2 linked regions of the Rattus norvegicus genome follow. The protein of the gene in region 1 purifies or fractionates together with the protein of each later gene. This does not show direct contact. Links are inferred from orthologs where the notes say so. Each region holds a gene or a part of one and is shown on either strand. Other genes may lie near its edges.

Evidence for each region. The genes of interacting proteins can lie anywhere in the genome.
Region 2: the proteins of Csnk2b (region 1) and Nkap purify together in Homo sapiens (co-immunoprecipitation; 3 studies listed by BioGRID and IntAct, counting the BioPlex papers as one, with this or other methods). This does not show direct contact. The link is inferred for Rattus norvegicus from reciprocal best matches to the Homo sapiens genes CSNK2B and NKAP.

Annotation. Positions count from the first base shown.
Region 1 is NC_086038.1:3,704,181-3,708,594, forward strand, and holds the start of Csnk2b (casein kinase II subunit beta), read left to right. Parts: upstream 1-1,542; 5' UTR 1,543-1,661; intron 1,662-2,255; coding exon of another isoform or gene 2,256-2,266; coding exon 2,267-2,338; intron 2,339-2,918; coding exon 2,919-3,021; intron 3,022-3,856; coding exon 3,857-3,972; intron 3,973-4,318; coding exon 4,319-4,394; intron 4,395-4,414. Other genes in the region: Gpank1 (G patch domain and ankyrin repeat-containing protein 1), read right to left, coding at 588-624. UniProt on the Homo sapiens protein: Regulatory subunit of casein kinase II/CK2.
Region 2 is NC_086039.1:121,252,113-121,255,759, forward strand, and holds part of Nkap (NF-kappa-B-activating protein), read left to right. Parts: intron 1-771; coding exon 772-881; intron 882-970; coding exon 971-1,046; intron 1,047-2,369; coding exon 2,370-2,519; intron 2,520-3,647. UniProt on the Homo sapiens protein: Acts as a transcriptional repressor. Plays a role as a transcriptional corepressor of the Notch-mediated signaling required for T-cell development. Also involved in the TNF and IL-1 induced NF-kappa-B activation.

The DNA.
Region 1 (4,414 bases):
CCAGGGGCCCAGCAGCCTACAACTAAAATGGACCTTCCATCCCCACACTGACTTCATACCTAGGATTCTGTAGAGCCCAGGGCTCATGGATAAAATGTAACCCAGGAATAACTGATCCTGCCACAATGTTAATATAATTTCAGGAGGGCATGGTAGGTACCTATGTCTCTGGGTAGAATGCTCGCCCCGAATTTGAGAATTCTAGGTTCTATCTCTAACACAGAAAAGAAAAAGGATAACAGGAAAAATATTCCACAAGAATAGGGGTCTAGGGGTCCTGCGTTCAACTCCCATCTTCCTACAAAAATGCCAGGCTCTCTCTGAAATCATTTTTCCTGTCCTCTAACACATACCGTTTGAAAATATCAGTTCAGCCTTTTAAATCTTGCTCGATCTTATCTAGGGGGGGTCTCCTTTTCCCAGATAAAAAACAGGCGTGACATTATTCCGGAAGCTTTCGGGGAAAGACGCTGCACTGTCATTTCCGTACCGCAAAATGGCGCTCTCATAATCTCTAAGAGTTGATACAATCAGAGCTACAGGGAGCCATGACGCATGCGCACCAGCAACAACAACAAAACACCCACAAGGTTCAGTTTCCCGCGCTGGAACCTTTCCAAGCATCCGTGTAAAGCATCGCGTGCCCAGGAGCGCGAGGACCCAAGGGGGAACCTGTCGGTTGGGGTCCTGCTTTTACATAACGCCCCCACAATGCTCTTCGCCACCCTCGCCCTGGTCCCTCCAGCACCAAGCTCCTTTCCTGGAGCTGGGAGGCCACCCTCTGCGTTCAGAAAGACTCTGAGGACACAGAGGGGGAGACCTGTGGAATGCCGAGGAGCTGTGAGATGAAGTAACATCACGGCACCCCTCACCACTACTCTGAGCAGGGTTTGAAGAACAGTTAGGGTCCGCAGCAGGACGCTCCATCAAGCTCTGAGGAAATGGAGAAGTACAAAGGGACGAGCGGCAGAATGGCTGGCCCCACCTCAGGTTAGCGCGCAGGGCGGTCTAGATTCTCACGCCGTATGCACAGCTCAGCGCGTCCTAAGCACACCCGACCTAAGTCCCTCACCACACCTCTGCGCATGCCGGAGCCCGAGCGCGCTCTGTCGCGGGCCTGGCAGGAGAGCCAGGGTCCAGTGGGTTGGCCTGGCACGGGGAGGAGGGAGAAAAACTAAAGCGCAACGCCGAGAGAGCACCGTAGGGATGACAATCACCCCGGGCGCTAGCCCCGTAGTCTAGCCAGCCTCCTAAGACTATATTTCCCAGGCTTCCTGGTCGAGAAGACTCCGTGCTAGGCTTCCGCTTCCGGTGGCGCTCCGTTCGCCCCGCCCCCGGGCGGCTTCCTCTAGGGCCTCGCGGCCCTAGAGTCATGCGCGGGTCCTCCTGGGATTGGTAGTTTGCCTTCCCTTCATTTCGTCAGTTTCTCTCTCCTGACGGGACTACATCTCCCGGCGTCCACGGAGGTAGGGGGGCGGTCCTTAGCGCCTGCGCGTTGCTCTCTTCTCCCCCCCAACCCCTAAACCCTCACCAGTTTCCAGTCCCCCCCTCCCCACTTCGTCTGCCGCGGCCGGGTCGGCTTTTTGCGCTGTAGCGGTCTCTGCCGTTCCTTGGAAGCACAGCTCCCCTTCCCCGCCCCAGTCCCAGTCCCCGTCCGGCCGGTGAGTGTGGGGTTGTCTCCGCGCCCAGTCGCCGGTCCCTGGGCGCGGCACTCGGGTCGGTGCTCCTCGATGTGGGGGCGACGAAGGAAGTGACCGGGTCGGTAGCCGAAGGAGGTCGGGGGGCCTGGGGAGAGGAGGCGGCTTGTGGGGACGCTCGTGAGTCCCACGGAAGTGTGGTGCCCTCGCCAACCCTGCGAGGGCAGGAGAGGCCGATTCTGTTGGGTAAAATGAACTTCGGGAGCTTTGGGACAGGCGCCAGGAATATGCAGGCACCTGCGGTGGTGGGGAGCCCGAGCCGAGGGCCCTGTCGCGGCTGACATGGAGGGGAGAGGGGCCTGGCCGTGAGGAGCGCCAGGGACGGGGGTAACACTAACAGATCAGGACCTGTCATTTTCTGGAAAGTAGCGGAACTCGTTCTCAGCACACTGTAAGGGGGGGCCGAGCTAAAGGAGAGGAGCTTGGAGATGCTTCAGAGGCCGGGATCCTTTAAGCCCGGCTGGACTCGGATTCATCCGTCGTTGTGGAGAACGTGTGGGAGGAGGGAAGAGACCAGAAACAGCTTGGTCTCCACTTACTTAGGCTCTTCTTTCTCAGCGGACATAAAGATGAGTAGCTCTGAGGAGGTGTCCTGGATTTCCTGGTTCTGTGGGCTCCGTGGTAATGAATTCTTCTGTGAGGTGAGTTTAGGTCGGCCAACTCCACATGCCCTCGATGTTTGATTTTACGTCGTTTGAGAGCAGATTTCGATCGAGCTCACTATGCAGACTAGACTGGCCTTGAACTCCTGGCAATCCTACCGGCCGCCTCCTGAGTGCTAGTATTGTGAGGGTTTGTCAATATGCATGGCTAACAGAGGTGTCTCTGGTGACCATTAGGGCAGTTAAAACCTCTCATGTCAAAGTTGTGTAACGTGCAAAGCACGGTGTGCTAAGGTAGAAAATTATAAATACCTTTCAGAAACTAAACTACTTGACCTTCATGATTCCGAGGTCTTCAGCTCAGGAGTCTGCTGTCCCCAAGAAGAGGGCACATGCAATTTGTAAAATGAGGGACAGAAGCTGAATAATGTCTTTGTGTGCTGGATCTGGTTTGCCTTAAAGAAAAGAGCTGCAGTTTTTATGAAACTTGAGTACTTCTGCAGAACTGGGACTAGGAAACATGAGAGGTGGCTTGGCTGAGGAAAGACTATCTCCTGGGCCCAGGTGGGAAGATGACGGGCCTTTCTATACTGGTTTGAACCCCTTGACTCCCCTGTAGGTGGATGAAGACTACATCCAGGACAAATTTAATCTTACTGGACTCAATGAGCAGGTGCCTCACTATCGACAAGCCCTAGACATGATCTTGGACCTGGAACCTGGTAACTAACGTGTGTCCTGGGTTGTTGCTGACTGTGGGGTTGGTGATAGAGTGCACTTGTGGGTGCTTTGTTTCCGTTCTCTTCTGCTCTCTGCTTGCTTGCTTCTTGAATTTGTTGATGTTGGGGTTTTTTTGTTTGTTTGTTTGTTTGTTTGTTTGTTTTTGTTTTGTTTTGTTTTTTGCGGGGAGAGGGGTAGTGGAGACAGGATTTTCCTGGGTAGCCTTGTCGGTCCTAGAACTCAGTCTGTAGACCAGGCTGTCCTCGAACTCACAGAGATCTGTCTGCCTCTGCCTCCTGAGTGCTGGAATCACAGACTGGCTTGCTTCTTGAATTTCTAAATTTCCTTTTGATTCTCGCTTGCTCCTGTGTTTCCTCCCCCACCTCTAGCCCCTCCATTCATAACCCAAACTGGACTTTACCACGTGCTGTCCTGCCCTAGCTTTCCATGCTGGAGAGAGGCACACAGCAGTGCTTAACTTCTCCACTGTTTTGATTCCTTGCCTGGTCTTGATGCTCTCTGAAAGCAGCTCGGCTGTTTTGTAATGGTGATTTCCTCTTGGGCCTGGTGTGCTGCCTCTTTCCCTCTGCTGCCCTCGAGGGCCACCTCTGTGGTTGTGTGTTTACATTTACTTACTGTGGAAGGAGAGAGGGACTTAGGCAGAGACTAAGGCATACAGAGAGGCTGCGCTGAGGGTCTTGACCTTGTAGAGGAGTCAGGAGCCCAGGTTTCTGGGTCAGATGCATGGATGGTGGGTAGGGCGAGCTTAGGAACAGGTACTGCAGGTAAGGTAGGGATACCTAGGGAAGCTAAACAAGTGGCCGCCCCACATTTCAGATGAAGAGCTGGAAGACAACCCCAACCAGAGTGACTTGATTGAGCAGGCGGCCGAGATGCTCTATGGGTTGATCCACGCCCGCTACATCCTCACCAACCGGGGCATTGCACAAATGGTGAGGCTCTGCTCCTGCTACTTCTACAGGAGGGGAAGGGTGCATGAGTCAGAGGCTGGGGAAGAGGAGAGAGGGAGATGCCCAGGGCAGGGCCACTGAGGGTCCCATTGAAGGTGGTGTTTTCAGGAAGGGAGATGAAACCAGAAAAAGGAGTTTGCAGGGGACACATGGCAAACAGCCCTGTGCTCTGCAGCCGGCCCCACGAAGGAAAAGCACCTGAGGGGTTGGAGGGCCTGTCTCCACAGAAGGGGCTTCTAGTCAGACTCGGGAGGCGTGGGGGAACCGGGAGTGCGTTGAGATTGCCTACGCACTCACCGACCACTCCCTTCTGTTTTATACATGTCAGTTGGAAAAGTACCAGCAAGGAGACTTTGGCTACTGTCCTCGAGTATACTGTGAGAACCAGCCGATGCTTCCCATCGGTGAGTGTTTATGGGAGGAG
Region 2 (3,647 bases), on another chromosome or scaffold:
TAGGATATGAACTCTAGTCCTCTGGAAGAGCATCAAGCACTCATGGTTGTTGAATCATCTCTCTAGCCACAATGTTTGTTTTTGAGATAGAGTCTTGTATACCACAGGCTGGCCTCAAGCTCACTGGACAACATAAGATGGCTTGGACTCTTAATTCTAGCTCCTAAGTGCTGAGATTTCAGGTATAAGCTACCACCTCCTACCTGAGAGTTAGGTTTTAAGCTAATTCATTTCCATTTACTTTCTCTATAATAAATGTATTTCATTGATTCTTTAGTCATTTCTTTTTTCTTAAAGATTTATTTGTATTTTATTTTTGAGTACACTGTAGCTGACTTCAGACACACCAGAAGAGGGCATCAGATCTCAATACAGATGTTTGTGAGCCACCATGTGGTTGCTGGAAATTGAACTCAGGATCTCTGTAAGAGCAGTCAGTGTTCCTAACCAATGAACCATCTCTCCAGTTCCTAATCATTTCTTGTTAATAGCAAAATACTATTTGGTTAACTGAGAAGATTAAATCAAAAAGTTTGAATAAGCTAGGAATTCTGATAATTTTATTAACCTTTTCATTCCCATGAAAACTGAGGATACCTGGGGCTGGAGAGATGGCTCAGTGGTTGAGAACACTGGTTATTTTTCCAGAGAACCTGGGTTTAATTCCCCCGCAACTACCCGGCAGCTCACAACTGTAATTCTTTTTAACATGAGAATGGATGCTTTTTAACATGAGAATACTTAATTTGTAATACATTATAACCCTTGCAGGAAGAAATACAAGAAAAAGAAGTCTAAGAAAAACAGAAAGGAGTCCAGTGATTCAAGCTCTAAAGAGTCCCAAGAAGAATTTCTAGAGAATCCGTGGAAGGATCGATCAAGTAGGCTCTTGTATTGACTAACTCAAAACAGTTGAAACATTAACTGATTAGTCAAGATGTGAATGTGTTTCTTAATCTATTTCATGCAGAGACAGAAGAACCATCAGATCTGATTGGCCCAGAGGCTCCCAAAACACTTGCCTCCCAAGATGATAAGCCCTTGAAGTGAGTAGAGGTGTACGGTTATGGAGTTTTGTGGTTTTCTTTGTTGTGGGTTATTAGTTTTGTTTTCTGCTGAGTGTGCTCGTGTAGGTTAGCACTCTGCTGCTGAACTGTGCCCTCAGCTAGTAGCAGTGGATTTGCAAGATCCAAAGCACTTTTTAAAAAAATTATTTATTATATATAAGTACACTGTAGCTGTCTTCAGACTCACCAGAAGAGGGCATCAGATCTCATTACAGATGGTTGTGAGCCACCATGTGGTTGCTGGGAATTGAACTCAGGACCTCTGGAAGAGCAGTCAGTGCTCCTAACCACTGAGTCATCTCTCCATCTCTCTAAAGCACTTTCTTTAGCTCAGTGTGGTTCTTATGCCTGTGATCCCAGGATTTGGAAGGAGGAGGCAGGGAATTCAGGAATCGTTGTAGGCTACTTTGTGATCTTAAGGCAACCTGGGCTATGAGAGACCCTGTTTCTACAAAATCAAAAGAAGATCTTTAGCTCTCCTTCAAGGCTCCTTTGCAGAAGCAACAGTATATGCTTCTCTGCAAGGCCTTGTGATTTCTCGCCATCTTTAGTCCTCACAGCATTTCCTGTGTCTTTATATAACGTGATTTTTAAAGGGTTTATTAGTTTGTGTATTTCTTCTGTATGGGCGAGGGGAAGGCATGAAGGTCAGAGGACAGCTAATGTTTAGGAGTTGGTTCATCTCCTTCTCCCATATGGGTACCAAGGAGTACACTCAGCTCTGCAGACTTGACGGTACATAAATGCCTTTACCCTGTGAGCCTTCTTGGCGGCCCATACAAAATACTAATTATGTTTAACCTACAGTGTAGTAAATATGTAAACTTCATAAGTATAGAGATTACTTTTGTGGTATAAGCTTTAAGCTTAATTGGAATACAAGAAAACATCACCGAACTGCTCTTAAAGTTTCTTTTAATCAAAGCCAAAAGATAATTCTTATGATGTTATTGTTTGTTACAAGTTATTTTGAGATGTATTATTTATCTGAGGTTTTTTTTTTAAGTGAATGAGCCAAGGGTAGAAACAGTACTGGCTAGCTATACCTGGTGAATTAATCCACTGTTATAAAGTATGAATTTATACTTGTGAACATCGGTTCTTTTGTTCTTCTAAATTATTTATACATTTCTCGGTCAGTGATATAGGCTGTAGTACAGTGTCCCCTAGTAAAAATTAAGAAATTCACATAAAGCACAACACTGTTATTCTTACTACTGTTTGAGGGAAAAGATTGTGTGCTGTCATTTTCCTATGGAGCTAGTTTGATGAACCTTTTTTGAATTCTGGATTCCTCTGTAGCTATGGCCACGCCCTGTTACCTGGTGAAGGTGCAGCTATGGCTGAATATGTAAAAGCTGGCAAGCGTATCCCGAGAAGAGGTGAAATCGGCTTAACAAGTGAAGAGATCGCATCATTCGAATGTTCCGGTTATGTAATGAGCGGCAGCAGGTACTTTCTTACCACTGAGTCAATTTTTATGATTAGCTCTTTTTCTTCTCTCTTACTACTACAATTATATTTTGGTGATCTGTTTTCACTGACTATTTCCTAGTGGAAAATAGAGTATGTGCCTCTCTCTCTCTCTCTCTCTCTCTCTCTCTCTCTCTCTCACACACACACACACACACACACACACACACACACACACACAAAATACTAGTCTCATGAGAAAAAACATACCCGGATAAGTTTCAATTATATATAAAGCCTCAAACTCTGTATATCCAGATGTAATGAATCAATAGTTTCCAGTTTTAGTTTTTTACCCTGGTAAATATAATTTAAGTTCAGCCATCTGTCATAGGGGCATATAGGATTCCAGTAGTGAGGAAAACAATTTCATAAGATAATCTTTCTTGATTTCTGAGTTCGTTTTCAGTTCTCAGAGACCTAGAATTTCTGGAATGAATATCAGTTAAGGATCATGAAAGATGTCAGATTCAGCATGAGGAAATAAAACTGTAGAAGAATCACAAAATACTTCTCAGGGAGAGTAAGGGCAGCAATACTAAAGTCACATGAATTGTGGGTTCTTTAAGATTACAAACTATCTATTAAAATAGTTAACCGCTTTGAATTGGTACCAGAGACAAATATATGTTGAACCTCTGAGGTATCTCCAGAGTCTTCGATGTCTTAAAACTAACGTCACTTTTGAGGATGACACAGTATGACAAGGACAAATCACTAGAGACATAAAGATCAGTAAGGAGGGTTCAACGTCGTCATTTTTGTGATTGAGATCTTCAGGAGCTTAACAAATGATTGCATAGAGTCATTACAAAACCAGTTGTTTCTACATCTCAGCAACAGGCAACTAGAAAACAGAAAATAACACTTCTTTAATATATATTAATACAATTAAACATTTATCAGAGAATATGAATGATTTGGAAATAAATCCTAACATTATAAATCCCCAGACCTCCACAGGGAAAACTATAAGCCATGAAGAAACATTAAGAGACTGGAGTGACGGCCCACTGGTTTAGAGCACTGGCTGCTCTTTTAGAGGACCCAGGTTTAACTCCCAGCACCCACATGCCTGTAACTCTATTCCCAGGGAATCTGAAGCCC